Saccharomyces cerevisiae S288C: one gene and its partner. The main gene of each other region encodes a partner of the protein of the gene in region 2 in a complex. Each region holds a gene or a part of one and is shown on either strand. Other genes may lie near its edges. The genes, in order: COX2 and COX9. A codon is read from its position in the direction of its gene.

Region 1 (16,504 bases), on a different chromosome or scaffold from region 2:
TATATATTATTATTATTTATATATAAATATTAAAATATTTTATATTTATATGTATGGGTCCCAATTATTATTTTATATAATAATTATTTAGGGGACCCGGATATCTTATTGTTATTAATTTATTATATTATATTATATTATATATTTATTATTTATTATTAATATTTTATTTATAATATTTATAATTTTATTAAATATTATTACTAAATATTTATTTATTTATAATAAATTTATTATATACTTTTTTATATTATTATTATAAATTTTAATAAACTTTTATTTATATATAATTATAAATAAAGATATAAATATTTATCTCCTTCTTTAAATAAAAAAAGGGGTTCGGTTCTCCCCCCGTAAGTATACGGGGGGGTCCCTCACTCTTTCGGGGTCCGCCCCCTCCGCGGAGGGGGCGGACCGGACTTTATTATTATTATTATTATTATTATTTTTATTTTTATTAAATAATATTTATATAATTTTAATAATTAAAACTTTTTATATTATATTTATATTATTTGATTATATTATTAATTATATAATGTTAATATCAATTATATTTTATATTTATATAATATTATAATATATATATTTATTATATAATTATTTTTTTTTATTAAATTTTATTATATATACTTATTCTCCTTTCGGGGTTCCGGCTCCCGTGGCCGGGCCCCGGAACTATTAATTAATAATAGGTGAAACAATAGGATTTTATATTACCTGTGAACAACTGGTAATATTTAATCCGTATTATATTATATTATATTATATTAATATTAATATTAATATTACATAAAATAAATATTAATTTTTATAAATTATTATCTCCTTCTTAATTAAGAATAAAAAGGGATGCGGTTCCCACGGGGTCCCGCACTCCTTCGGGGGTCCGCCCCCTCCGCGGGGCGGACCGGACTTTATTATTATTATTATTATTATTAATAATAATTATATTTATAAAATTCATATGATTATTATTTTTTATTATTTTATATATATATATATAATTTATTATTTTATATATATATATTATATTATATATTTTTTTTTATTATATATATATATATATTATATATATATATAATATATTTTATATTATTTATATATTATTAATTCTTTTTATTTTTTATTCTATTGTGGGGGTCCCAATTATTATTTTCAATAATAATTATTATTGGGACCCGGATATCTTCTTGTTTATCATTTATTATATTAATTATTTGGTTATTATTTTTAATTTATATTTATTTTATATAATTTATTATATTGTTTATACTTTATATCTATTATTAATTATATTATATTATTATAATATATTTATTGATTATATTATTAAATATTAACAAATGTGTGCTCTGTATTTATTTAATATTCTGGTTATTATCACCCACCCCCTCCCCCTATTACTTATATATTTGAAATATATAAATATATAACATAATAAATTAATATATTAATAATTATATACTTATTTTTTTTTATTATTTATAAATATTATTTAATAAAATATTAACTTATTTATAAAATTTTAATAAATATATTTAATATAATTCTTTAATTTAATAATAATATTATATTTTAATATAATTTATTTATTATTAATAATTAATATATTCCTTATTTATTTTTTATTATTATTTATAAATATTACAATTTATTTTTATATTTATATTTATTATTATTATTTTATAATAGATATATTAATATTCTTTTTAGGTTCTAATAGATCTTCATTATATACCTTTATTAGAACTTAATGATAATATTATATTTTATATTTAAACTCCTTTCTTAATAATAAAATTATATTTTTATATAATTTATAATTATTTACTTTTTTATTATTTATTATTATTTATTATTAATATATTAATATAATAATAAGTTCTCGAATTCCTTTTTTCTTTTAAAGAAGGAAATTATAATAATATTAATATATATAGGTAAAATATAATAGTCCCCACTCCGCGTAACGGTGTCCGCAATAATATAACTTATTAAATTCTTATATATACTAAAATAATAAAAATTATTCTTTTCTATTTTTTTATTATTATTATTATTATTATTATATATATCATTTTATTTTTATATAATATTTATAATATAATATTATACATTATATTATAAATTATAAATAATATCATAATATATTAAATTATAGTTTGAATGAGTGAGGGACCCCCTCCCGTTAGGGAGGGGGACCGAACCCCTTTTTAATTTAATTTAATTTAATTTAATTTAATTTAATTTAATTTAATTAAGAAGAAGATATATAATTATTTATTCTCCTTTCGGGGTTCCGGCTCCCGTGGCCGGGCCCCGGAACTTTATAAAATTATTAATTATAATAGTCCGGCCCGCCCCGTGGGGCGGACCCACCCCAAAGGAGTAATATATTATTAAATATATAATATATAATATATATAATACATATAATATACTTTTTATATTAATAATATATATATAAAATATAATATAAATAATATTATTTAATATATATATATATAAATATATATATAAATAGAATAAATATTCTATTAATATTCTATATATTAAATACACTTATTAAAGTTTAATTCTAATTCTTTTTAATATATGAACTATTTAATTATTTATATATTTTATTAATATTAATAATAATAATAATAATTATTATTATAAATTAATCTTTAATAATATTAAATAAGTTTATTATAATTAATTAATGATAATTTATTTAATGAATACTTCTTTTGGGACTTTATATTTAAATTTATATAAGTGTGAATTCCTTATTATTTATCATTTATATATATATATATATTTTTATTTTTATTTTTATATAATATTTAATAAACATTTTATATTTAATTATATTATTAAAGATATAAATTATAAAAAGGGTAGGTATTTTGATAATAAATAATATATTATTATATTAATAAAGGGTTTAATAATTATGATAATAATAATAAAGAAATTCAATTAATTAAATTTAATTAAATTTTAAACTCCTTTTTTTGGTTCATATTTATAATATATAGAATATAAAATATACTTTATAAAATAGGTATTCATTCCTCTCTCATGGAGGTTCACACCTATTTTTAATAAAATATAATAAAATATATATAAAATATATATAAAATAGGTGCTCACTTCAAAAAATAATTACATAAATAGTATATTTATAATATATTAATATTTCTCCTTTCGGGGTTCCGGCTCCCGTGGCCGGGCCCCGGAACTATATAATATTTAATAATAATCAAATAAAAAATATTTTTTATAAAATAATATTAATAATATATATATATATATGAATTTATATATTAGTTAAATTAATAATATTTATATTATATTATATCATATTAAAAAAGTCCCGCTGGAGGTGAGGCGGTGACCTCGAAGGAATATAAAAATATAAATAATTACATTATTATATTATATTATATTAATATTATATTTTTTTTTTTATAAATATTAAATAAATTTATTAATTATCTTTATAAAAGGTAAATGAAAAAAGAGTATAATGATTATATTATTATTAGTTCCCGCTTCGCGGGAACCCCGTTAGGAGTTTTGAAGGAATAATATATAATAATTATATTTGTAAGAATATTATTATAATAATATAAAATATATATATATAAATTATAATATATTAATTATTGTTAATTATTAATAATATATATATTAATCATTTAGATATATAATTCTATAGCCTTAGACTCCTCATCAGTAGAAGACTACGTATAAAAATAATCAGATAACATCTAAAACATGTAGATAAATAATAGTTGTTTCATATCCAACATGATGTCCAGCTGTTAAATGATAATTTCTCATTCTTCAATAATTAACACCTAACATAGCTGCTAACATTACCATATGTAAGAAATGTAATCCTGTACCAGCATAGAATACTGAACCATAAACACCATCAGAGATAGTGAATGCAGCATTAGTATATTCAATATATTGACAAGTAACAAAAATAACAATTAATCAGAATGTAATTAATAAACCTGATAAGGCTTTATTTCTATTACCTGCGATTAAGGCATGATGACTATAAGTTACAGTAGCACCAGAAGATAATAAGATAATAGTATTTAATAAAGGTAATTCGGTAGGTTGTACAGCTTCAATACCTACGGGTGGTCAACATGCACCTAATAGTACATCAGGACTCATAGCTGAATGGAAATAAGCTCAGAATAAACCAGCAAAGATTAATACTTCAGATAATACAAACATTAAGAAACCTAAATTAATACCTTTTCTTACTGCTATAGTATGATCACCTAAATATGTAGCTTCAGCTACAATATCTCTAAATCATAAAATAGAACTTGTTAATAATACAAATAATGCTAAATATACCATATTCATATTACCAATATAACCATGCATTGTTAATGCTAGTGATAATGCTAATGATAATAATGCAAATGATACTACAATAGGTCATGGTGAAGGCATAACCATATGAAATGGATGTTGTTGATGTCTACTTCTTTCTAAATGTGTCATAAATTTATTGTTATATATATATTATATATATAATATAATTAAATAAATAAATAAAAAAAATATTAATAAAATATTATCCCTTAAACTATATAATAAAATTAAATAATAATATTAATTTAATAAATCTTTTATTTAATAATAATATAAATTATATTAAATATTTATAATAATATATTATTTATAAAATTATAAAATAAATTTATATATAATTCAATATATATATATTAATTTATATATTTAAATTAAATATAATTAAATAAATAATATAATCGAATTAATATCTCTTTCGACCGGATTATTTATTCAATTATTAATAATATAAATAATTAATTTGTATTGAATATAATTTATTTAAATATTTTATTATTATTATTATTATTATTATTAATTTATTAATATTAAAGGAAATATATTTATTATATTATATTATATATATTTTTTATTATTTATATTTATTATTAATATAAATCATTGATAATATCTTCTTTTTATTTATTTATTATTATAATTAAAAAAGAATCTTATATTAATTAATATTATTTATTTTTTTTTTATTTAATAAATAAATATTATTATATTAAGATAGATATAATATTATATCTAGATTTAGGAAATATAGGGTTCGAACCTATAATCTTTCGTGTGTAAAACGAATGCTATACCAATTAAGCTAATCTCCTTTATAAAATATATACTCCACAGATATATATCCAAAACTCTTATTAATTATTATAATTATTATTTTATTTATTTATATATATATAATTATAATAATTCATATAATTATTATAATCTTATAAATATTCCTATTGAAAATTATACTTTATAATTAAATTTATTAATAATTATTTAATTTAATATATAAAATATTTATTTATATATATATTTATATATATATATATATTTTTATAAGTAGTATATTATATTTTATATATAATAATATTTATAATATATATATTATAAATTATATATAATATATTATATATTTATTTAATAATTTTTATATAATTAATATATTATATATTTAATAAATTTTATATAATTAATAAGGTAAATATAATTTAATGGTAAAATGTATGTTTTTAGGTGCATATTATCTAAGTTCAAATCTTAGTATTTACAAAATAAAAAATTAATATAAATTTATTATAATCATTTATAAATTTATTATAATATTATTATTATATTTATTTATTATTAATAATTATTTATTATTTATTATATAATATTTTTATAATTATATATTAAATATATATAAATTTTATTATAATAAAACTCCTTCTTAAATAGGGGTTCGGTTCCCATGGGGTCCCTCACTCCTTACGGGGTTCCCGCAAAGCGGGAACTAATAATAATATATATTTTTATATATATATTAATATATATATATATTTATAACTCCTTTATTGATATTTATTCTTATTTAGAATATTTTTAATTAAATAATATAATTAAATGAATACCAAACTTATATTATATTTATATTTATATTTATATTTCTCCTACCGGGGTTCCGGCTCCCGTGGCCGGGCCCCGGAACTAAATATATAAACTTTTTTTTATAATATTATATTTATTAAAATATTAATAAATAAATAAATAAGAGATATAATATATATTTTCTTTGTATTAAATATATTATATATATATATATTAATTATTATAATATATTTATTATAAATTAATTATTAATTAATATATTATTATTATTGCCCTTAATGAGAATCGAACTACATGTAAATAAATCTTCAATTTATCGCTTTACCACTAAGCTATAAAAGCTATATATAATATAATACTTATTATTACTTATAATATAATATATATATATATTTATATAATAATACATAATATATATATATATATAAATAAAACATAATATATAATATATATTTTTATATTATTAATTAATTAATTTATTACTTATCTTATTATATATATATATAAACCTTTTATAATATATTAATATATATAAAACTTTAATATTATTAATTATTATATTTATATTTATATTTATATATATAATAAATATATATATATATTTATATAAATTATATAATAAATAATAATTATATTTTATTTATAATTAAAAATAATAATTATATAATATATTACTCCTTCGGGGTCCGCCCCGCGGGGGCGGGCCGGACTATATTATATATAAAATAATAAAAAGTCTATTTATAATACTAATATAATATTATATTAATATTATTTATTAAAAAGTAATTATAATAATATTATTATTTATTTAATTTATTTATTTATTTATTTATTTATTTATTATTATTATTAAATAATATATTATATTTATATTAATTATTTAAGATATAATATTAAGTTCTGGGGGACGGCCCCCCGTATCCGTATCCGTATCCGTATTCGTATCCGTATCCGTATCCGTATGGGGGATCGGAACCCCAAAGAGGAGTGAATACCTATTACATTATATTTATTTTATATTATATTATATTTATTTTATATTATATTATATTATAAATATAAATTATAAAAGGAGTAAATATAATTCTTATAATTTAATTATATTATAATTTTATTTTATTTTATTAATATTTCTCCTTTCGGGGTTCCGGCTCCCGTGGCCGGGCCCCGGAACTATTAATATAAAAATATATAATATTTATAAAAAAATTATACATTAATTATTCTTATTATTATTATTTATTTAATTATTATAATAATTATAAAAAGAATATTTTTATTAAATTATTAAATTTATAATATATTTAATTATATTATAATATATAAATATAATTTTATAAAATAATAAGCTAAATATTAAATATATATTTAATATTAATATCAATATAATATTAATATCAATATAATAATTTAAGATATATTATTTAAAGATTTAATTATAAATATAATAACTCCTCTCGGGGGTTCCGGGTCCCGTAGCCGGGACCCGAAACTTAATTAATATATATTTTATAAATTAATCATTATTTATTTTAAATAAAATATTAATATTTTTATAAATATAAATTCTATAATAATAAATAATAAATATATATATATATAATAATAAAGAATAAAAGAATATTATTAAAAGTTATGGCTATAGCCATGAAGAATTAATTAATTATAAAAATAATTAAAAGAAAATAATTTTATATATTTATAATAAAAGAATAATTTATATATAATTTATATAAATATAAAAAAGTCTCCTTTTTTAATTTTAAGAAGAAGTAAAAATAATAATTAATCTAATAAAATATTTTTTAAAATATATTTATTTATAAATACATTACCATTTTTAATATATTTAGCAATTTCATGTTTAGTCCCGGCCCCAGTCGGGACCCCGAAAAGGAGAACAATTAAAGTAAAGAGCTGCTGGTCTATAACCAGTAAATGTTATAATTAATGTATTATTTAAATCATAAACAAATACTCCAACATTAATAAATTTAGTATTATTATTATTTATAGAATTTAAACGTTGAATATCACTATTTATACGATATGGTAATTTATAATTATAGATAAGATTTATATTTAATACATCATCAATAATATTTTTAGTTCCGGGGCCCGGCCACGGGAGCCGGAACCCCGAAAGGAGAAATATTATAATTAGAATAATATCTTTTTTTATTAATATTATTATTAATTAATTTTAATAAATTAGAACCTTTAAGTGTATTATGTAAACCTTTTATATAGATTTCTATAAGTGTTTTTCATAATTGGAAATCAATTTCTTTACGACTATATCATTTTAATGAATATAATTTAGGTAAAATAACATAATATAAAAAATCTATTCTATTAAATTCTAATTTAATAACTCCATTTTTATCAGGTTTAGTTAATTTAATAGATGAATCTCAATCTTTTAATAATTTATTTTTAATTAATAATGGTGTATTATCAATTGGTTTTCAATTATTTAATACATAAGATTTAATAGCTTTTAATGTATTAATACTACGTTTATGTTGTGAAACATTAAAACCACAAATATTACGTTTTGGAGATAGATCAAATGAACCTTCAGCTTCAATAAAACCTAAAATTCAATAATCATTTATTTTATCATATGGAATTTTTAAATTAGGTATAACTTCATAATTATTAATTGTATTTTTAATATTTAATAAATCTTTATTATTATAAGATATACCATTTAAATTATTAATTATAGCTATTTTTCATTTATAATAACTATAATATTTAATTGTTAAACAAGGATACTTATCAAAAATAGTTACAATATTAGAATATAACCATTTCTTTTGTGAATTTACTAATATAATTGTTTTAAGTAGTTCTTCAAAATTAGAAGGTATATTTAATATATTTCTAATCTTTTCTAAACATGCTTTATCATCAATATGTATTCTAAAACCATAAAAAAATCTTAAATATTTTTTATCATTTAATTTAATATAAAAACTACCATCTCCATCTGTAAATCCTACTAATCATTTATAAAAATTATCTATTTCTAAATTATTCTTATTATTATTTTTATTATCTTTTTGAACAATAATTAATTTATTATTTAAAGAAGTATGATAACCTCTTTTAATAATATTTATATTTTTAATATAAGGTGATTGAATAGAATATAAATCTATATCTTTATTATATTTAAGAATATTATTATAATTATTATTATTATTATTATTTTTAATAATTAAAAATATTAATAATAAGTAAATATTAATTATTGTTCATTTAATCATTCCAAAAATTTAGGTAATGATACTGCTTCGATCTTAATTGGCATATTTGCATGACCTGTCCCACACAACTCAGAACATGCTCCATAGAAGACACCTTCTCTTTGAATTAAAGCAGAAACTTGATTTAATCTACCAGGAGTAGCATCAACTTTAATACCTAAACTTGGAATAGCAAAATCATGAATAACATCAGCAGCTGTTACAACGAATCTAATATGTGTATCTACAGGTACAACTATAGAAGTATCAGTATCTAATAATCTTAATTGACCTTCTTCTAATAATTCATCAGGAATAACATATGATTCAAATTCAACAGTTTCACCACTATCATTAATAAAATCTGAATATTCATATTTTCAATATCATTGATATCCAATAGCTTTAATAGTTATAGCTGGTGAAATAACTTCATCACATAAATATAATAAAATAAATGAAGGAAAAGCAATAATTAATAAAATTACAGCTGGAAAAATTGTTCAAATAACTTCAATAGTTTGTCCATGTTTAATATATTTATATGCAATAGGATTTTTTGAATATGTTATAACAATTGTATATAACATTCAAGATACTAAACCTAAAATAACTAATAAATAAAACATAATATTATCATGTAATTCTAAAATACCTTCTTGATTTGGTGTTGCTGAATCCTGAAAATAACATGCATAAGGTGTTGGTACATCATTCATAATGAATGTTGTTAATTGTAATCTTAATAAATCTAACATTTTAATAAATCTTAACCTTTAGACTCTTTTGTCTATTTATAATATGTTAATACTACTTTTAATTAAAATTTATTTATAATTTATTATTATATATTATAAATTAAAATAAAAAATATTATATTATATTATCAACCCCACCTTTTTTTATTAAAAATAATTAAAATTATATATTATTTTTATAAATAATATATATAATATTATTAATCATATAAATATATATTTTATTAAAAAAAAAAAAATACTAAAACTCCTTCGGTCCTCCTCCCGTTAGGGAGGGGTCCCTCACTCCTTACGGGATTCCCGCTTCCCAAAAACTAATAATATTCATATCATATATATTAATATTTATTAAAATATATAATATTTAGATTATATATAATATATATAATTTTTATTATTATAATATATTAGTGATTACCTTATTTATAAAGGTATGAAGCAAGGAGTTATTATTTATTATTATTATTATTATTATTATTATTAATATAATATATATATAATATATTATTAATTTTTATTTATACTCCTTCGGGGTCCCCGCCGGGGCGGGGACTTATATTTATATTATTAATATAATATATATTTAAAAATAAAATAGTCCGCCCCGCGGAGGGGGGCGGGACCCCGAAGGAGTCCGCCCCCCTTTTTATTTTATTTTATTTAATTTTAAAGAAGAAGAATTATTTATATTTATTTATTTATTTATCTCCTTCGGGGTTCCGGCTCCCGTGGCCGGCCCCCGGAACTGTAATAATATATTAATTTAATTAATATTTTTTATAGATAAATATACATTATATGTTTTTATTAATTAATTATTTATTTATTTATTTATAATATATATTTAAATATTATATTATATATATATATTTAAAAGATAAATTATATTTATAATTATTTAATGAACATCTATTTAATAATAATAAAATAGTCCGGCCCGCCCCCGCGGGGCGGACCCCGAAGGAGTCCGGCCGAAGGAGATGTGAATCCTGCTAGGAGGAGTAATTATTTATTAATATTATTTTAATATATATAAATATTATAATCATTATTACTTGTAGAAGGAATTGAACCTTACATTATTTATTTATGAGACAAATGTTTTAACCAATTAAACTATACAAGCTCCTTAATTATAATTATTATTATAATTAATACAATATTTACTCTTTATTATCAATATTTATACCTTATTTTATAAATATAAATAAAAGATATTAATTATTAAAATATTAATAAATATATTCTTTAATAATTTATAATTATAATATAATAATTATAATAATAATAATTTTTAATAAAAAATAAAATAATTATAAAATTATAATCTTATTATATAAAATATATAATATATTTATAATTATTAATAAAAAAGATAATTATATAATTAAAATTAATATATATATATATATATATATAAAGGTATTATTAATTAATTAAAAATATTAATATATTTGTTAATTAAATAAATAAATAAATATAAATATTATCTAATTATAAATTTATTCTTAGTAATTAATATATATATAATATTATATAATATAATATATATAATATAGGTGTTAGTTTAATAATATTCTTTATTATATATAAATATAAATAAGATATCTTATACTATATATTATAATAAATTATAAATAATTAAACATAATAAATATAATTTATATATACATATTTATTTTTTATTAATTTATAACATATTAATAAAAATAATAAATATATAATTTCTTTAGAATACTTTTTATTCTCCTTCCGGAATTAATAAAATAAAATAATATAATATAATATAAAATATAGATACTTATTTAATTTATTAATTAATATATATATAAATATATTATTATATATAATATAAATAAATATATAATATAATATAATATTAATAATTATTATTATATACCTTTTTATAAATAATTTAAATATTTATAAAAATATTTTAATAATATTTATAATATAAAATTTATCATTTTATAAAAATTATATATATATATATAATATATAAAATAGTTTCTTCTTACATAAAATATAATAAAAATTATAAAATATATTAAATTATTAATAATTATATATTTAATGAATAATCTTAAATTAATAAATATCAATAAATATATCAATAAATATAATATAATATAATATAATAAAATTATTTATTATTATTTATTTATTATTATTATTAATACATACTTTTTATATTATTTTCTTTAATATATATATATATATGATATATAAATTAAAATATATATATATTATTATCGTCCTTAATAGGAATTGAACCCATCTATTCTCATTAACAGTGAGATGCTTTAACCGATAAGCTATAAGGACATATTATATAAAAGAATAAATATATATTAATTAAATAAATAAAAACCCTTATTTTATATATTTTATTAGTTCCGGAAGGAGAATAAATAAATAAATATATAAATATATAGAAATATAACTCTATAATTAAATTTATTAAATACAGATAATAATTATTTTATTATTAATTTTATTAATAGTTCCGGGGCCCGGCCACGGGAGCCGGAACCCCGAAAGGAGAAATATACATTTTAGAATTATTTATATATTTTTTTTATAAAAGTATATATATATATTATAAAGATAATATAAATTATTATTTATTTATTAATTAATTAATTATAATTATAATTATAATTATTATTATTTATTTATTTATTTATATATATAAATATATTAATATAATTATTATATAATTTTTTTTTTTATAAAGTATATATATATATAATTTTATATATTAAATTATGTATTAAATTAATTATTCATTGGATTATATTAATTTCAATGGATTTGATTTATAATAATATATAATTAATAATAAATTATGAAGGGAATAGGAATTGAACCTATGAAGACCTAAGTCATTGAGTTTACAGCTCAACTCCAACTACCAACATTGAAAATCCCTCCTTATATATTAATATATATATATATTATTATCTTAATATAATATATATATATTTATATAATTATTATAATATATTTACTCTATTTAAGATTTATATCTATATATATATAATATAAATATAAGTTCAATTTATCTTATCTAAAAGAGATATTTATTAATAATAATTTATGATTTATAAATTAATAATAAGATTTAAATATTATTTATAAGTATATATTATTATATTATAAATTATTTATATTATTATTTAATTATAATATTTTTAATAAAATAGTCCGCTCCCCTCCCGCAGGGGAGGGGGCGGACCCCGAAGGAGTGCGGGACCCCATGGGAACCGCATCCCTTTTTATTCTTAATTAAGAAGGAGTAATAAATTTATTTATAAATATAAAATTAATAATTAATATTTATTAAATATAATTAATAATAAAACTCCTTATGGGGTTCCCGCTTCGCGGGAACTATATATATTTATTATAAATTAAATAATTATTTATTTATATATATATATATATATAATTATATTTATATTTATTATTATTATTATTATAATATATATATTTATATTTTATATATTAATGATATATAATATGAAACTAACAGGGATTGAACCTATATTTGTACCTTATCAAAATACTATTCTAACCAATTGAATTATAGTTTCTATTTCATTAATTATTATATTTAATTAATTTATATAATAATATTAAAATTTATTATAATTTATATATTTATTAATTATTTATTAATATAATATTTATTAATTTATTAAAATATTTATATTATATTATAAATATCTCCTTCGATTAGATAATTTATATTATTTATTAATATAATATTTATTTAATATTTATATATATATATATATATATAATTTATTAATATATATATTATATAATATAATTATTGGAGTTAATGAGACTTGAACTCATATTAAATGCATGCAACGCAGTCGTTCTACCAAATTTAACTATAACCCCATTATATTTATATTTATATTATTTATAAAAAAAATAAAAATATAAATTATTATTTCTTTATATAATATATAATATTATTATAATATTATTCTTATGTAATTTATTTATATTAATTAAATTAAACTATATTATTACTTATAATAAAATATATATTAATGAAAGATTAAAAATAATATCAAAGTAAATAAATATTATTTTATAAATTTATAATAAGTTTTTAATATATTATTATCTTATTATAAAAAATTAATAATTAATTAATTAACCCTATATTAAAATATAAAATTATATACTTTTTATATAATAAATAATAAATAATTAATAATTAATATATAAATAATTATAATATTTTATATTATTCTCCTTTCGGGGTTCCGGCTCCCGTGGCCGGGCCCCGGAACTATTAAATATTTTTATTTAATAATAAATAAATAAATAAATTAATTAATAATATTTATTAATATATAATATTATATAATATAATATAATATCTTATAGGATTTGAACCTATATAATTAGATTCGTATTCTAATATTTTACCATTAAATTAAAGATATATACGGAAAATATGAGATTCGAACTCATAAGAATTTACAATTCAATTACTTAGCAAATAATCCACTTTACCTATAGTTAATTTTCCTTTATTAAAAAAAATATAATAATAAATAAATTAATAAATTAATAAATAAATTAATAAATTAATAAATTAATAAATTATAATAAATTATAATTATTTTTTATATTATTTTCCTTTCGGGGTTCCGGCTCCCGTGGCCGGGCCCCGGAACTATTAATAAGTAATAAATAAATAAATAAAAAGAAGAAATATATTAATGAAATTATATAATAATTAATAAATTATAAAATTATGATTTTTTACTATTAAATATAAAATAAAAATAAAAATATTAATAATAATAATATAATATAATATAATATAATATAATATGATCTAATATAATATAATATAATCTAATTAATTAATAAGATTATAAATATTTATAATAATATATATTATATTTATATATATATATAATATATATATATTTTATATATTATATATAAGATTATTAAAAAATAATAGTAATAAATATATTGTAAGAAATAATAAATTTATATAAAAATTAATTATTATTAATAAATATAAAAATAAGTCCCCGCCCCGGCGGGGACCCCGAAGGAGTGAGGGACCCCTCCCTATACTATACTAATGGGAGGGGGACCGAACCCCGAAGGAGTATTATATTAAAATATTTATTTTATTTTATTTATTTATTATAAAATATTAATTAATATTAATAATATATTAAATATATAATGAAAGATTAAATAAATAATTTATATAAAATATTAATATAAATTAATAATAATAACAAAATAATTTATTATTAATAAATATAATAATAAAAAAGATTATTATTTATTTTTTTTATATTAAGTATAAATATACGAATCTAATCAGATTTGCACTGACATCCTCCATTATGACAAAATGGTACTTTACTATTAAGCTACAGATCCTTTATTTTATTATTATTATTATTATTACTCCATTGGAATAAAACTCTTTATTAAAATTTATACCTACTACTATTATTATAATTATTATTATAAAATTTAATATATTAATAATATATATATATTTATTTATATTATTATTATATTATTTATTAAATATATAATATTATATATACTTTTTTTATTATAAAATAATATTTATAATTTATATAAAAAGAAATATATTAATTATATTATATATACTTTTTTATCAATAAAAAATTATTATAGTCCGCCCCGCCCCCGCGGGGCGGACCCCAAAGGAGGAGTAATAAAAAATATATTAAAATATATTATAGTTCCGGGGCCCGGCCACGGGAGCCGGAACCCCACAAGGAGATTATTATAAATTATTATTATCATTATTTATTTATAAAGAATAATTATTAAAATATTTTTATTTTTTTTTTATATAAATATTTATATATATATATATATTTATAATATTGTATTTAATTAAAATATAATATATTTTGTTATAATATATTTATAAGAATTATATTTATTTATTAAAATAATAATAAATAAGTATATTAAAGAATTATTATAATAAATTATTATTAATATTAAATATTATAAATATGATTATTTTATTATATAAAATATTATTATTAAATAAAATTAAATATTATTATTATTATATTTTTATATAATAATAATATAATATTATAATATAATATAATATAAGTTTTAATATAATTTTGTATTTAATTAATTATAGGATATTAATTTATATTAATATTAATTATAGATAGCGAGAATCGAACTCGCATTCAATGTTTGGAAGACATCCAGTTTACCAATTAACTTATATCTATTATTATTATTTCATTTATTATTAAATAGTAAATTAAACTTCTTAATTTAATTAAAAATGGGGGGGGGATTATTAATATAATATAATTACTCTCTCCATGATTTGAACATGGAATATTAATATTAGAAGTATTATGCTTTAACCATTAAGCTAAGAGAGCTATTTTTATTAATATTTATTAATAATTATAATATATTAATATTATTAATAAAAATAATTATTATTATTTATTATTA
Region 2 (15,616 bases):
TCCAATCGTTCAAGTTCTGAAAATCATTAGAGCTGGAAGTTAATCCCATTTCCTTCGGCAAATTGGCAGGTATTCGCAAATGAGCTAATTGGTTAATTTTCAACGAATTCTTGATAAGCCAGCTTATCGAGTCCATGTTCACTACTCGAGCTCGATCTAAGTTATGAATGTAATTGAAGTTTTTGTTCATTATATTAAACTGATTGAAATTCGTAAATGTTATTGTAAGCATCTTATTAATTTCCAAGTGAATGAGCTGTTCACCCAATTTTTGTAAAGTTTCGTTTCTTGTTTCAAATGTATTTCCTGTGCTCAAGTCTCCAGTCATTGGTACTCGTACCAACATATTCCTGCTTGTGGTATATAGCAGTTTAGTTAGTTCTTTAGTCGGTATGCGTTCCTTTCCTTTATATCCGTCAGGATTAACTTCAAGGACTTCACACAGTTTTTCTATCTTACTAATATTCTTTTTCGTCACCGTGTTTATAGTTCTGATGGGAATATACCTGCGAATCCCAGATATTCGAGCAACAGTAGTTGCAAACACTTTTGTCCTCAACATGTCGAGATTCATTATCTGATTTATTCTTTTATCCTGCTATAAAGAAACCATAGAAGAATAGAAGCAAAGGGGTAGTACGTGGCACCTCCTAAAGGTAATATTGTACTATTCCTAGTTCACTCAAGGTCTGCCTGTCTTATTCTCCACATACATTTTCTATAACTCTTTTTTTAAGTTTGTTTTTATTTTAGTTTGACACTACATAAATATGTAAAACTATTTTTTCAAATTATACAAATAGAAAATTATGATAAAGGTCAAAAAGAAAGAAAAGAATGACTTGTCTGTTTTCCTTCCCTACAAACTCTTGCAAAAGTAATCAATCGAGGCCAGCACAGAAAAAAAATAAAAGATAAATAAATAGGAATAAGAATATAATGCGAAAAACAATAGTGGTCAGGTTCGGTCAGTTCTCTTGCTTTTTCCTCTCAGCTAGCTCTGCGTAGAACTTCTCTCTCTTGTTAATCTTATCCATGTGGAATCCCCACCACCAGTAAGAGGCCATGACACCCCCGAGGGAGAACCCGAGGACGATGTCCATGATGACTCTTCTCTTGATCGTACCAGTAATTGGAGCAATAGTCATGTCTGTGTAAGTCGCTTGTAGTTAGTAGTTTGCAAATATCTTGCTTGCTCTAATTCTCGGTCCTAATTTTCCCTGAAGATAAGAGTCTCTTTCATCGATTCTTTTAATACCACAGGAACAAAGCGGGCATCGTGGTAGCGGGCCAATCAGGTTGCAGTAAATGAAGAGATATAGAGGAGGACTCTGCTAAAGACCATAACAAGGGTCTGCAATGATCTTGGACTAAATAAAGGTGTCTTACAATCCAAAAGAGCTTGAATCATTCCTTTTATGAGCTAAATAGCACCGTTTGCACCTTCTGATAACGCTTTACGGGTCACGCGCGGATTTTGACTCACATAATTCCACTTGCCCATATAAAGAGGGACTCATATGATCTTATGAAATCTTCCTTCAAGCAATTGTGAGACAACAGACGCACAAGGAAGATCGCCCAGCATGAGTATGTTATCTAGAAGATTATTTTCCACCTCTCGCCTTGCTGCTTTCAGTAAGATTAAGGTCAAACAACCCGTTGTCGAGTTGGACGGTGATGAAATGACCCGTATCATTTGGGATAAGATCAAGAAGAAATTGATTCTACCCTACTTGGACGTAGATTTGAAGTACTACGACTTATCTGTCGAATCTCGTGACGCCACCTCCGACAAGATTACTCAGGATGCTGCTGAGGCGATCAAGAAGTATGGTGTTGGTATCAAATGTGCCACCATCACTCCTGATGAAGCTCGTGTGAAGGAATTCAACCTGCACAAGATGTGGAAATCTCCTAATGGTACCATCAGAAACATTCTCGGCGGTACAGTGTTCAGAGAGCCCATTGTGATTCCTAGAATTCCTAGACTGGTCCCACGTTGGGAAAAACCAATCATTATTGGAAGACACGCCCACGGTGATCAATATAAAGCTACGGACACACTGATCCCAGGCCCAGGATCTTTGGAACTGGTCTACAAGCCATCCGACCCTACGACTGCTCAACCACAAACTTTGAAAGTGTATGACTACAAGGGCAGTGGTGTGGCCATGGCCATGTACAATACTGACGAATCCATCGAAGGGTTTGCTCATTCGTCTTTCAAGCTGGCCATTGACAAAAAGCTAAATCTTTTCTTGTCAACCAAGAACACTATTTTGAAGAAATATGACGGTCGGTTCAAAGACATTTTCCAAGAAGTTTATGAAGCTCAATATAAATCCAAATTCGAACAACTAGGGATCCACTATGAACACCGTTTAATTGATGATATGGTCGCTCAAATGATAAAATCTAAAGGTGGCTTTATCATGGCGCTAAAGAACTATGACGGTGATGTCCAATCTGACATCGTCGCTCAAGGATTTGGCTCCTTAGGTTTGATGACTTCTATCTTAGTTACACCAGACGGTAAAACTTTCGAAAGTGAAGCTGCTCATGGTACCGTGACAAGACATTATAGAAAGTACCAAAAGGGTGAAGAAACTTCTACAAACTCCATTGCATCCATTTTCGCGTGGTCGAGAGGTCTATTGAAGAGAGGTGAATTGGACAATACTCCTGCTTTGTGTAAATTTGCCAATATTTTGGAATCCGCCACTTTGAACACAGTTCAGCAAGACGGTATCATGACGAAGGACTTGGCTTTGGCTTGCGGTAACAACGAAAGATCTGCTTATGTTACCACAGAAGAATTTTTGGATGCCGTTGAAAAAAGACTACAAAAAGAAATCAAGTCGATCGAGTAATCGAATTTACGTAGCCCAATCTACCACTTTTTTTTTTCATTTTTTAAAGTGTTATACTTAGTTATGCTCTAGGATAATGAACTACTTTTTTTTTTTTTTTTTTACTGTTATCATAAATATATATACCTTATTGTTGTTTGCAACCGTCGGTTAATTCCTTATCAAGGTTCCCCAAGTTCGGATCATTACCATCAATTTCCAACATTTTCATGAGTTCTTCTTCTTCATTACCGTGTTTTAGGGGGCTGTTCGCACTTCTAATAGGGCTATCACCAAGCTGTTCTAATTCGTCCAAAAGTTCAGTAACACGATCTTTATGCTTTAGCTCGTCATAATCTTTCAATTCATAAATATTTACAATTTCGTCTACGATATTAAATTGCCTCTTGTAGGTGCCTATCTTTTCCTTATGCTCTTCATTTTCACCGTTTTCTTGAAACCAAACACCGAACTCACTACGCATTTCTTTCATAGGCTCATATAATACTTCTTTTGACGTCATTTGATCAAGTATTTTTGTTATTGCGTCGTCCATCTCCCCATCTTTTAGATCAAATTGATTTTCTGCACTTTCTTTTCCACCAGATGCTACCATTTGATCTAATAATTGTGACAATATATCATCAATATTATTATTTTGGCCACTGCGTTGAGATTCCTTGGTTTCTTCGGCTAGGGATGTATCAACTTTATTACCATTTTCCTTTAACCTGTCTAGCGTATTGGAAACAATGTTTTTAAATCCCGGATTGCTACCATTCACGGTCCCTTTATCAGTGCTGTTACTTTTCAAACTACTACATCCTTGCTCCATCTGTTGATGAGGTACTTTAGCTGCCTCTTCTAGAGCACTAATCAGTTTATTAAAATCTTCTGTCTTCACATTATTCTCGTTACCGTTATTTTTCATCAAATTTGCGAACTCATTTTGCAAATCTACCATCATTTCTTTCAATTCTGGGTCCTCTTCAGATTCATTAGCTACCTGTACGCCATCACTGTCCTTACTTTCGGCATTCTTCTCTTTGTTTTCACTATCGTTGTACACAGAACCCTTCGCTTGCACATCATCGGGCTCTGCTTCATCCAGTTTAGTGGGATCTTCATCTAAAAGGTCATCCAAATCATCAAAATTATCGTACTCGTTTTCATTCATTACTTCGTGTTGTATGTTTGGCATTTCTTCTTTCCGTCAATACTTCGGTTCCCACAATTTGTAATTCTTTCTTCACTTTATATCTCTCAGAAACCGCGTTTAACATCTGGAAATTAAAAATTATTCCTGTCTCCATAACAAACATTTAAAAAAAGAAGAGAAATTTAGCATAGGATAAGCACACACTGGCACCATTTTTTGGAAGCAATATGAGTAGTTTGTGTCTACAGCGTCTTCAGGAAGAAAGGTAAGTAGTAGTTTTCCTCCTTTTATGCTTACATTCTGTAGGCATACACAATTTCATCCAGCGGTATACTAACAAATCGATGAACTTAACTTGTTTTACTTGAATAACAGAAAAAAATGGAGAAAGGATCATCCATTTGGATTTTATGCCAAACCAGTTAAGAAAGCTGATGGGTCCATGGATTTACAGAAATGGGAAGCTGGTATCCCAGGCAAAGAAGGTACAAACTGGGCGGGTGGTGTGTACCCAATTACAGTCGAATATCCAAATGAATATCCTTCAAAACCTCCAAAGGTTAAATTTCCAGCCGGATTTTATCATCCAAACGTGTATCCAAGTGGCACAATATGTTTAAGTATTTTAAATGAAGATCAAGATTGGAGACCCGCCATCACGTTAAAACAAATTGTTCTTGGGGTTCAGGATCTTTTAGACTCTCCAAATCCAAATTCCCCTGCTCAAGAGCCTGCATGGAGATCATTTTCAAGAAATAAGGCGGAATATGACAAGAAAGTTTTGCTTCAAGCTAAACAGTACTCTAAATAGAGGGAATCCATCTTTCCCATTCTTCCTCCTTTTGTACTTTATTTAACTAATGTCGTTGTGTAACAAAAATAGAGCAAAATAACATTATTTACAAATTCTCAAAAATAATTTTTTGCTCTTTGTTTCTTATGCTAAGTAAATAGAAAGATATTTTTTGTACCATTTTCTATAAGTATGGCAACTATATACACTTTAATAAATCTATTGGTTAGTAGAATTTTCATTCATTTTGTAGTGAATGAAACTATCCAACGTAGTAAAGCAATCATGGCATCTTTCTTTTAGTTCGGGATTTTTGTTTTTATCAACCATTTTGAATTGCTGCCTCAAATTTGGTACAACTTGGTCTTTTAGAATAGATAAAAATCCACCCCTTACAAATATTGGTTCATTATAGTCGTAAGAGGCATCCCCGTAAATTTGGAAAAGCGAATTTGTCATTTCTATCAAAATTTCAGGGCGAACATTCAACTGTGTTAAAGTTTGTATGAAGAACTGCCCAATCTCCTTATTTGCATCAATTTGTCCCTGAATCATAGCATATGTGCTTAGTACATTAATACATTTTTGTTGTAACTCAAGGTCATTATTATTTTGGAACTCTTCAATAATTCCCCTAGCGAATCCTGAATTGTTCAGCATTTGGACATTGATCAATGCTCGATTCTCACTTTCAAACGCTCCATCAGGAAAGATGAGTTTCAGAAGCGCCCAAATACAGCCCATTCTTCCTATTTTAATACTCAAATCATCTTGGCTGTCCAACTGTGTAACATAACTCCATAAGGTGGTTAACAACTCTCCAGAGAGCTCTGTTAGAGATAGAGACACAAAGAGCCAGATCAGATTGTTCCATCCGATCAATATTCGCGAGGTGAAGGTATCTTTCAAAATCATGAAAACGTGAGGTAAGAAATTTGTTAAGGTATTGATTAGCTCCTCTGGAATTGCTACTTCCTGTGATTCTGGTGATTCATATTTGGATGCAACTATCTCAATGATTGCGGTGATAAGATCAATTGCTATTTCAATGCTTTGCAATTTTATCATGGATTCGTTACGTTTCGCATTGTAATCCTTGATCTTAGTTATAACCTTACTGCTTTCATCTTTACTAGTAGCAGGTCCAATTTCTACAGGGTTATTAATGTCATTAACTAACTGTACTGGATCAATGTTATTAATGGAATGACATACAGAGTGGATCATTTTGTTACATTGATCATAAGTTATTTTCATGTCAAGGAATTGGCAATGGATACCTTCAATTAGAACTTTTGTTAATTCATTAGCTTGTGGATGTAAAGCCGGAGATAGCCCATTTAAGAACTGTGATAGAAGTTCATTGTTGGAAACATGATCAATAAATTCAAATGATTCGGAACTCAAATCATAAATGAGATCAAGAGTGGTATTGAACAGATTAATTGGCAGTTTCTCGACACCATATTTTAATAGCTGTGAAATGACCTGAAAAATTTCATTTATTTTACTTTCCGTTAATATCTCATTAAGAATATCGTCGGATCCATTAGACAGAGCCACCACTAACGACAGTAAGTTATCGGCAAAATCGAATAACAACCTTTTAGATTCTATTTTGGATTTTCCTGCAGGTTTTAGCTGCGGTTGCTGTTCTGCTGCTTGCAAAGCGGATAACGATTCAACAATCCTGCCAAAATTACTTGTTATACTTGTCCATATATCAGATCTCCAAAGGTAGATTGACACATCATAACCTTCTTCCAAAGACAAGTTCCTTAATAAGCCGAACGACTCCACAACTATGTCCGAATTAGAATCGTTCAGCAATTTATTCAAAATGATAGGAACTAATTTCTCTTTCAGTAAAAGTTGTCTCATATGTGCATCCTCACAAAGAACACTGATGGAACTCAAAGCAATACTTCTATCATTAGGCACCACACTTGACAAATTCTGCAATAGCGGCTGGAGTTTTTTATTAACGACGTTGGTATCTTTATTATTGTCATTTGACCCAGCTTTGCGTAGTGGATTTAATCGAGACGAAGATGCTCTTGATCTTTTCTTTGATCTGCCCATTCTTTTCTGCCCTAAAAAGTCGATTTCTGCGTCCTTGTACAAACTCGAAAATCTGATCGAAAGTACTTGGAATCCAGTAAGAATAATGGGGGCGTTGCTACGAAGATTTAATTTTACAATACATAGACCTTTAAACAATGGTAGATAAATGGATGAGATGAGATGAGATGAGATGAGATGAGATGAAAAATTTTCTGAATAAGAGAACTACTCGTTCTAAATGATTATTGTACATTTTGCATAGAAAAATGGCAATAAACAGGGCAGTACTATTTCATCATCATCACTAAACATTAGTTGGCAAACTTATTAAGCCAACAGTACTTGTGACTAGAATTTTTTATTATATCGCCAATATTTAATGATAAACATAATATAGTAATACCAAAAATAATTATGATAACTTATACAAAAGAAGTGGAAAGAAAAGGAAAGAAGTAATCAAAGTAACTCAAAAAAGGTTAATGATTACGATGTTACAATCGCTCTTGACTTATCTGTACTTGTGGAAACCAATGTCGTTAGCCTTTTCTCTGAAACATTGACGACAGATGTTTAAGTCGTACTTTCTGACCAAACCAGTGTGGGAGGAGCAGACACGACATTGACGGGAACCTTTACCGAATCTTCTTGGGTGGGAGAACCAAACGTTTTCGTGAGCCATTTTGTATATATTCTATAACCAATAAGTTTTCAAAATTGAATAGAAAAATGTTAGTATTATAATTTTTGCAGTTTTTATGTTTTCCAGGAGTTCCATGGACGTGTACAATAGAATTTTTCGACTATCGAAGTTAAAAGGAAATAAATATAAGCTTATGCTATGGCTCATTGTATTTGACATAATTTGAAGCTTTGTTGATGTTTGATGCTTGTTGCTACATTCAATAAACACATCGTCTTATTCCACCATGGGGCCACCAGAAAGGCTCCCCCCTACTGCTAGCCACAGATATTTTCCTCGAATTTTCAATTCTTTTAGTTGTAAATTTTAGTTACAAATCCAAATCAGCGCAGATACTTTCCTGCTGTTCCTTCATTCTGCATACACGTCCCTTGTCTCTTCAATCCGCGTTTCCACATACATTTAGCTATAGTTTCTTTCAAAGAATTTCTCAAACTACTAATCCCAATACCTAATAACCACTTCTTGTACTGACGGTTATACCTTTAAGACTTGACGCTTTCCCAGGCAAAATGTAACATTTTCCACCGCGCTGTTCGTACAACGCGAGAAGATCTTTATAAAGAGTACCCAGATGTTCCCCCCAAGTGAAATAAATAGGCCTACTTAGGACTGGGTGTTAAAATGTACGGATGGAAAAGTAGACTCGATATTCAATTACAGCTAAGAAAAATTTTCAGTTCTGCTCATCTCATCACCAGTAAAAAAATGTGTGAGTTAGAAGTTGATATGAGTTGTGATATTAATCGCAGAAATTTATTTGTTAGTTGAAGAGCGGTAGTTTTACGCAGGCATCAGAATGGCAGGTCATTCACACAGGTCATCATTAAAAAACGGACACAAATCTTACAAATCCAAACATGCTTCTAAAGGTGCTTTGAAAAGATTATACAAGGGGAAAGTGGAAAAAGAACCCGTGGGCACTGGCAAACCAGACAAACAAGTTTCAAAATTGCAACGTAAAAACAAGGCAAAACAATTAAGGGCCCAAAGGATCTTGGATTCCATTGAAAACAGGAAATTATTCGAAGGAAAAAATGGCGCTGCCAAAATCATTACTATTGTTCCGTTAGTGAATGATTTAGACCCATTGGACATTCTTTACAAGCTATTAAAGTGTGCAGATGATGAAGGAATCATGGTGCAGGAAGTAGACTCAAAACGTATATTTAATGTTCATATAAAGAAGTTTAAAAGCAATCTTAAAATCATAATTCCAGACATGACCAATTTTTTGAACATTTTAGATTGCGCTAAAGTAGCAGACTTTGTTGTGTTTGGGCTCAGTGGTGTCCAAGAAGTCGATGAAGAATTTGGTGAGCAGATCATCCGTGCGTTAGAACTACAAGGTATTGCTTCATATATCGGTGTCATAAGCAACCTCTCAGCAGTCCATGAAAAGGAGAAATTCCAATTGGATGTCAAGCAATCCTTAGAAAGTTATTTCAAGCACTTTTTCCCAAGTGAAGAACGTGTTTATAATTTGGAAAAAAACTCAGACGCTTTAAACGTCTTGAGAACATTGTGCCAGAGGCTACCAAGATCAATCAATTGGAGAGACAATAGAGGTTACGTAGTCGCTGACTTTGTTGATTTCGTTGAAACCTCTCCCGATTCTGGTGACCTGGTAATTGAGGGGACCGTCCGTGGTATTGGCTTCAACGCCAATAGACTGGTCCATATTCCTGATTTTGGTGACTTCCAACTGAATAAGATAGAAAAAATCAGTGAATCTTCGCAGAAAAGGAAAATAATAAAGGAAAAAGCTACAGATAGTCTGAGCTTAGAGCTGGATTTACAAACAGTTTTCGAAAGTAATATGAATAGAGATACTTTGGACGAATATGCCCCAGAAGGCACGGAAGATTGGTCAGATTATGACGAGGATTTTGAGTACGACGGTTTGACAACCGCGAGATACGACGACCATGGCTTCTTGCCAGGGAGGGAACAAACATCAAAAAAGGCGGCAGTTCCTAAGGGAACTTCTGACTATCAAGCGAAGTGGTACTTGGATGACGTCATTGACGCAAATGAGGAAGAAGAGGCAGAACAGACCAATGGAAAGGATGAGACAATGATGGAAATTGATGATGAAATGATGGTGGAGCAAGACAATGAAGAGGTAGCAGGCGACGAAGAATATGACATAGAGGATAATGAAGGATTTGAAGAGCTTTCACCCGAAGAAGAAGAACGTCAACTGAGGGAATTTAGAGATATGGAAAAGGAGGACAGAGAGTTCCCCGATGAGATCGAACTAGAGCCCAGTGAATCTGCCATCGAACGTTTGAAAAGGTATAGAGGTTTGAAAAACTTATACAACTGTGATTGGCAAGTTGATGAAAAGGACCCATCATCACCAGCGGAATGGAAACGTCTATTAAGGATTGGCAATTACAAAAACACTAAAAACAGAATCATAAAGGAAACCAAGAATGAAGCACAGGCCATTGCAGGTGATCGTATTAGGATGTTCATCAGGTTTCCTAAGTTTCTGCTTGAAAAGATTCAAGATCCTAAACAACTATTATTTGCTGTCTACGGATTACTACTTCATGAACACAAAAATGCGGTAGTCAACTTCTCTCTACAAAGATGGGAACAATATGACAAACCTGTGCCTTCTCAGGAGCCTATCGTAGTACAATACGGTGTTAGAAGATACACTATTCAACCTCTATTTTCTCAAGGCTCTAACAGTCCTAATAATGTTCACAAGTATGAAAGGTTTCTGCATCCAGATACAGTATCAGTTGCCACATGTATTGCTCCCGTAGATTTCACCCAGTCACCTGCAATTTTTTTCAAGCCATCACCAACAGATGCCAAAAATATTGAATTGATTGGTCACGGTACATTCCTGAATGCAGACCATTCAAGAATATTAGCAAAGAGAGCCATTTTGACCGGTCATCCATTCAGATTCCACAAAACTGTGGTTACTGTACGTTACATGTTTTTCAGACCAGAAGATGTGGAATGGTTCAAGTCTATCCCACTGTTCACCAAATCAGGTAGGTCAGGTTTCATTAAAGAAAGTTTGGGTACGCATGGTTATTTCAAGGCTACATTTGATGGTAAATTATCTGCGCAGGATGTTGTTGCTATGTCCTTGTACAAACGTATGTGGCCCATGCCTTCGTTACCTTGGAATGGTATGTAAAGTGATAAAAATATACACGTATATATATATATATATATATATATAAGTACGTGAGATCTATTTGTATAATATAATGCTAATAAAATAGTATCAACGATACTGTTGATAAAGGTAAGTCGATACCTGTTCCGTTCGCATCAAATACAAATGCCACTTATTTTGTAGAGGTATTAATGCATTATGTGAAAATTATGACTTTTTATCAAGCAAAATAAATTTGCTACTTGTGCCCTTTTTCTTTCTTTTTTTTTTTATTTGATATGCGTGCCTTTAGCATCCTCCAATTTGATAAAAGTCGGCTTGCTATTAGTCGCTGACAATAAGTTGTAATTGGTGTTAGCTTCATTTTTAATTTTTTTTGAGCCATACAAGCCATCGACATAGTAATTATTTGTAATCTTAGTCTCATAATCGAGTATGATTTTTTCAAAGCTCAATAACGCCTTCTTTAACGCATCGCCTACAGCCTCTTTTTTCGACCTGTTATAACATTCACCTCTCGAGGACAAAGTAATTCTACCTAGCCCACCACACTGTGTGTTGGTGCCATCCTTTAAGGTAACCTTTACTTGGGCTTCTGCCACAACTGTATACTTGACCTCACTAGTGTTGGTGTTTTCTCCATTATTTACTGCGGTGAAGGGCTGGCACTCCCGGGCCTCAACATCTATAACATCCATTCGCCAACCATCATACCCGAATGTTTCATTAGCGAACTGAATGAGAGCATGCCCTGGTATCAGCTTAGATAAGTTGTGCTTCCCATATTTATTATTGTGGTAAATATTGTACGTGTACCTTTCGATCTTGGACTGTAGAAGCCCAATCCTCTGCACCGACCAAGCGCTGGCAGGTCTTCCATTCCAATCTTCGATGATTTGGAACTCTTTTATATCCAAGCCCGGTGCTGTGCCGTATGTAGTCGAATCATACGATATGCTCGAACTGGGCTTCGCTTGTATCGTCATTATTTTGTCTGTTTATCCTGAAATATGCTCTTCTCCTCTACGTAACCCTTTAATGGTCCAAAGCATGTGCTAAACTGCCACAGACTCCCTCAATGATGTTCTTATCCTTCCTTGCCGTTACTGCTTCCTATCATATCTGCCCTTGCCAAACTGTGGCTTCCTCTAATCAATTTGCCCCAGTACATTGAAAAGCACGTGACGTGACACCAACTTGAAAGACATTAGTGTCCAACGCGATATAATGGTCAATAAAATACCCAATTTTATCAAGTGAACATGATATTATTCAATACTATAGTACTTTAAAGAAAACTTCAACAAGTTGCTTCATTGCTATATTATACAATTATGGGTGATGCCGGTCGGCTAACCTTTCTTTCGCAGCGCCACATACAAGAACATATGGTAATTACTAAGAACTTTTTGGAAACTATTTCCATGAAGAAAACAAAATTTACTGGCTTCTGTCTTCGAAGTAAATTTAGCGAACTTGATACTTTCGTTTGGACAGTCGTTTAGATTTGCAACTGTCTGTTCTTATTTCTTGCTATTATTACCAGAAATAAAGCCTAAAGCGCGTGGTTCTTACGAAAAAAATAGACCTTGCACATTAACAGGGTTTAGACATCACAGAGACTGAATACTGGAGAGAAGACAATTCTTGTTCACGACTTCGAGTGATTAATATCTATAACAACCCTCCTATCAAGAATGGACATCATTCAAGGACTGATACAGCAACCAAAAATTCAATCTGTGGATGAAACCATTCCGACGTTGTGCGATCGAGTTGAGAACTCCACTTTGATTAGCGATAGGAGATCCGCTGTGCTGGGATTAAAGGCATTTAGCCGGCAGTATAGAGAATCAGTGATTGCATCCGGGCTAAAACCGTTGCTCAATACTTTGAAACGTGATTATATGGATGAAGATTCGGTAAAGGCTATATTAGAAACAATTTTGATTCTTTTCATCAGAGGCGATGGCCATGACGACTTAACTAGAGGTTGGATTTCTCAACAATCGCGGTTGCAGAATGGCAAGTATCCCTCACCATTGGTGATGAAGCAAGAAAAGGAACAAGTAGATCAGTTCTCGTTATGGATTGCTGATGCTTTGACGCAGTCTGAAGATTTAATTCACCTACTTGTTGAATTTTGGGAAATCGATAATTTCCATATTAGATTGTACACAATTCAATTACTAGAGGCAGTGATGGCCACGAGGCCGTTGAAGGCGAGAAGTGCTTTGATTTCACTTCCAACGAGCATATCCACAATGGTCTCACTCCTAGATGACATGCATGAGCCCATCAGGGATGAAGCTATTTTATTATTAATGGCAGTAGTGAACGATTCACCTCACGTTCAAAAATTGGTTGCTTTTGAAAACATTTTTGAAAGGCTCTTTTCCATCATCGAAGAAGAAGGTGGGTTAAGAGGCTCTCTCGTCGTCAATGATTGTTTATCGTTGATCAATAACATCCTGAAGTATAACACTTCTAATCAAACTTTATTCCTTGAGACAGGAAACTTGCCAAAACTGGCACACCTTTTGAGTGAACCAATATCTCAAGATGAAGTTTTTTTTTGGAATGATCAAAGGATAGTTAATATCAATACAGCTTTAGATATCGTCAGCCTAACAGTAGAGCCAGGAAATACTGTCACCACTAAGCATCAAAATGCGTTGCTTGACTCAAGCGTATTAATGGTTGTGTTGCGACTTGCATTCTTTCATAATATCCCAAAAAAAGTTAGACCGGTTGCTCTTTTGACTGCCGCAAACATGGTTAGAAGTAATGAACATGCACAGCTAGAGTTTAGTAAGATCGATGTTCCATATTTCGATCCTTCATTACCTGTAAACTCTACTGCAAACGGTGGTCCAATTAAATTAATTCCTGTAGTCAGCATCTTGATAAATTGGATGCTCTATGCCAACTCCGTTCACACGTTTGATACAAGAGTTGCGTGTTCTAGACTATTAAAGGCTTATTTCATGGATAATTTTGATCTTCAAAGAGATTTTTTACTAAAACAAGTCCAATTGTGTAATAATTCAACAAATAATGTCGGCGACAATGCTAAAGAAAATGGTGGTTCTAACAAATCTGATAAAGAAAGTGATTCAGATAAAGATACCGACGGGAAGGATGGCACTGAATATGAAGGTTCTTTCAAGGCAAATCTATTCGAAGTCCTGTTAAATTATGACGCAGAATTGAATCTGAACCCTTTTAAATTATTCTTCACAACTGATATTTTTATGTTTTTTTTCCAACAGGATCACAAATATAGCGAAGAACTACGTGAAATAACAAGAAATGTTACCACCGGTAACGATCTCGAAGACGAAGAACCCTTAAAGGCAATTCAAACAATAAGTGAATTGCTAACTACTTCCCTTACTGCTGCTGACATAAGAATTCCTATTTCCTACTTAACGTTCCTAATATATTGGCTCTTTGGCGACTTTAAGGCCACGAACGATTTTCTTTCGGATAAATCCGTGATTAAATCCTTGCTTTCCTTCTCTTACCAAATTCAAGATGAAGACGTTACTATCAAATGCCTTGTAACAATGTTACTAGGTGTGGCATACGAGTTTTCCTCGAAAGAATCTCCATTCCCAAGAAAGGAATACTTCGAATTCATCACTAAAACTTTGGGAAAAGACAATTATGCTTCTCGAATCAAACAATTTAAAAAAGATTCATATTTCTCAAAAGTTGATATGAATGAAGACAGTATACTAACTCCGGAGCTTGATGAAACTGGTTTACCAAAAGTTTATTTCAGCACTTACTTCATACAGTTATTTAATGAAAACATATACAGGATCAGAACTGCATTGTCTCACGACCCTGACGAAGAGCCAATCAATAAAATATCTTTCGAAGAAGTCGAAAAATTACAGAGGCAATGTACAAAATTGAAGGGTGAGATAACTTCTTTGCAAACAGAAACGGAAAGCACCCATGAGAACCTCACCGAAAAATTGATTGCGTTGACTAATGAACACAAAGAGTTGGATGAGAAATACCAAATTTTGAATTCCTCACATTCTTCGTTGAAAGAAAACTTTTCCATTTTGGAAACTGAATTGAAGAACGTCAGAGATTCCTTGGATGAAATGACGCAACTGAGAGATGTACTGGAAACTAAGGACAAAGAAAATCAAACTGCTTTACTGGAGTACAAAAGCACAATCCACAAACAAGAAGACTCTATCAAAACTTTAGAAAAAGGACTTGAAACTATTTTGTCTCAAAAGAAAAAGGCAGAAGATGGTATAAACAAAATGGGTAAAGATTTATTCGCTCTGAGTAGAGAGATGCAAGCAGTTGAGGAGAATTGTAAAAATTTACAGAAGGAAAAAGATAAAAGCAATGTCAACCATCAGAAAGAGACTAAATCACTAAAAGAAGATATTGCGGCAAAAATTACTGAAATAAAAGCTATCAATGAAAATCTGGAAGAAATGAAAATTCAATGTAATAATTTATCAAAAGAAAAGGAACATATTTCGAAGGAACTTGTTGAGTACAAATCCCGCTTTCAGAGTCATGACAATCTAGTAGCGAAACTAACAGAAAAATTGAAATCCTTAGCAAATAACTATAAGGATATGCAAGCTGAAAATGAGTCTCTAATAAAAGCTGTAGAAGAGTCAAAAAACGAAAGCAGCATACAATTGTCTAATTTGCAAAATAAAATTGATTCTATGTCACAGGAAAAAGAAAATTTTCAAATAGAAAGAGGCAGTATAGAAAAAAATATCGAACAACTAAAAAAAACCATCTCTGACTTAGAACAAACGAAGGAGGAAATTATCTCAAAATCCGATTCTTCAAAAGATGAATATGAGTCCCAGATTAGTCTCTTGAAAGAAAAATTAGAAACGGCGAC

What was found.
Region 1: the proteins of COX9 (region 2) and COX2 are in contact, whole or in part, in a cryo-EM structure (PDB 7Z10), measured with the Saccharomyces cerevisiae proteins. Residues at the interface, in NP_010216.1 of Saccharomyces cerevisiae: Ile10 (codon at 1,121), Arg13 (codon at 1,112), Asp17 (codon at 1,100), Ile18 (codon at 1,097), Leu20 (codon at 1,091), Gly21 (codon at 1,088), Phe22 (codon at 1,085), Leu24 (codon at 1,079), Gly25 (codon at 1,076), Gly26 (codon at 1,073), Met28 (codon at 1,067), Ala29 (codon at 1,064), Ser30 (codon at 1,061), Trp32 (codon at 1,055), Trp33 (codon at 1,052), Phe36 (codon at 1,043), His37 (codon at 1,040), Lys40 (codon at 1,031), Arg44 (codon at 1,019), Phe47 (codon at 1,010), Tyr48 (codon at 1,007), Leu51 (codon at 998); in NP_009326.1 of Saccharomyces cerevisiae: Cys23 (codon at 9,913), Tyr24 (codon at 9,910), Ser28 (codon at 9,898), Ala29 (codon at 9,895), Thr30 (codon at 9,892), Glu34 (codon at 9,880), Leu37 (codon at 9,871), Glu38 (codon at 9,868), Asp41 (codon at 9,859), Asn42 (codon at 9,856), Met44 (codon at 9,850), Phe45 (codon at 9,847), Leu48 (codon at 9,838), Val49 (codon at 9,835), Gly52 (codon at 9,826), Leu53 (codon at 9,823), Trp56, Met57 (codon at 9,811), Thr60 (codon at 9,802), Tyr65 (codon at 9,787), Phe88 (codon at 9,718), Gln212 (codon at 9,346), Arg213 (codon at 9,343).

What each region holds. Positions count from the first base shown.
Region 1 is NC_001224.1:67,233-83,736, reverse strand, and holds COX2 (cytochrome c oxidase subunit 2), read right to left. Parts: upstream 9,980-16,504; coding exon 9,224-9,979; downstream 1-9,223. Other genes in the region: COX3 (cytochrome c oxidase subunit 3), read right to left, coding at 3,715-4,524; Q0255 (maturase-like protein), read right to left, coding at 7,753-7,833, 7,865-8,074, 8,115-9,242. UniProt on the Saccharomyces cerevisiae protein: Component of the cytochrome c oxidase, the last enzyme in the mitochondrial electron transport chain which drives oxidative phosphorylation.
Region 2 is NC_001136.10:333,249-348,864, forward strand, and holds COX9 (cytochrome c oxidase subunit VIIa), read right to left. Parts: upstream 1,149-15,616; coding exon 969-1,148; downstream 1-968. Other genes in the region: CBS1 (Cbs1p), read right to left, coding at 1-562; isocitrate dehydrogenase (NADP(+)) IDP1, read left to right, coding at 1,587-2,873; PEX19 (Pex19p), read right to left, coding at 3,001-4,029; E2 SUMO-conjugating protein UBC9, read left to right, coding at 4,239-4,276, 4,387-4,822; SYO1 (Syo1p), read right to left, coding at 5,024-6,886; 40S ribosomal protein uS14 RPS29B, read right to left, coding at 7,380-7,550; small subunit rRNA maturation protein TSR1, read left to right, coding at 8,371-10,737; RAD59 (Rad59p), read right to left, coding at 10,989-11,705; USO1 (Uso1p), read left to right, coding at 12,417-15,616. UniProt on the Saccharomyces cerevisiae protein: Component of the cytochrome c oxidase, the last enzyme in the mitochondrial electron transport chain which drives oxidative phosphorylation.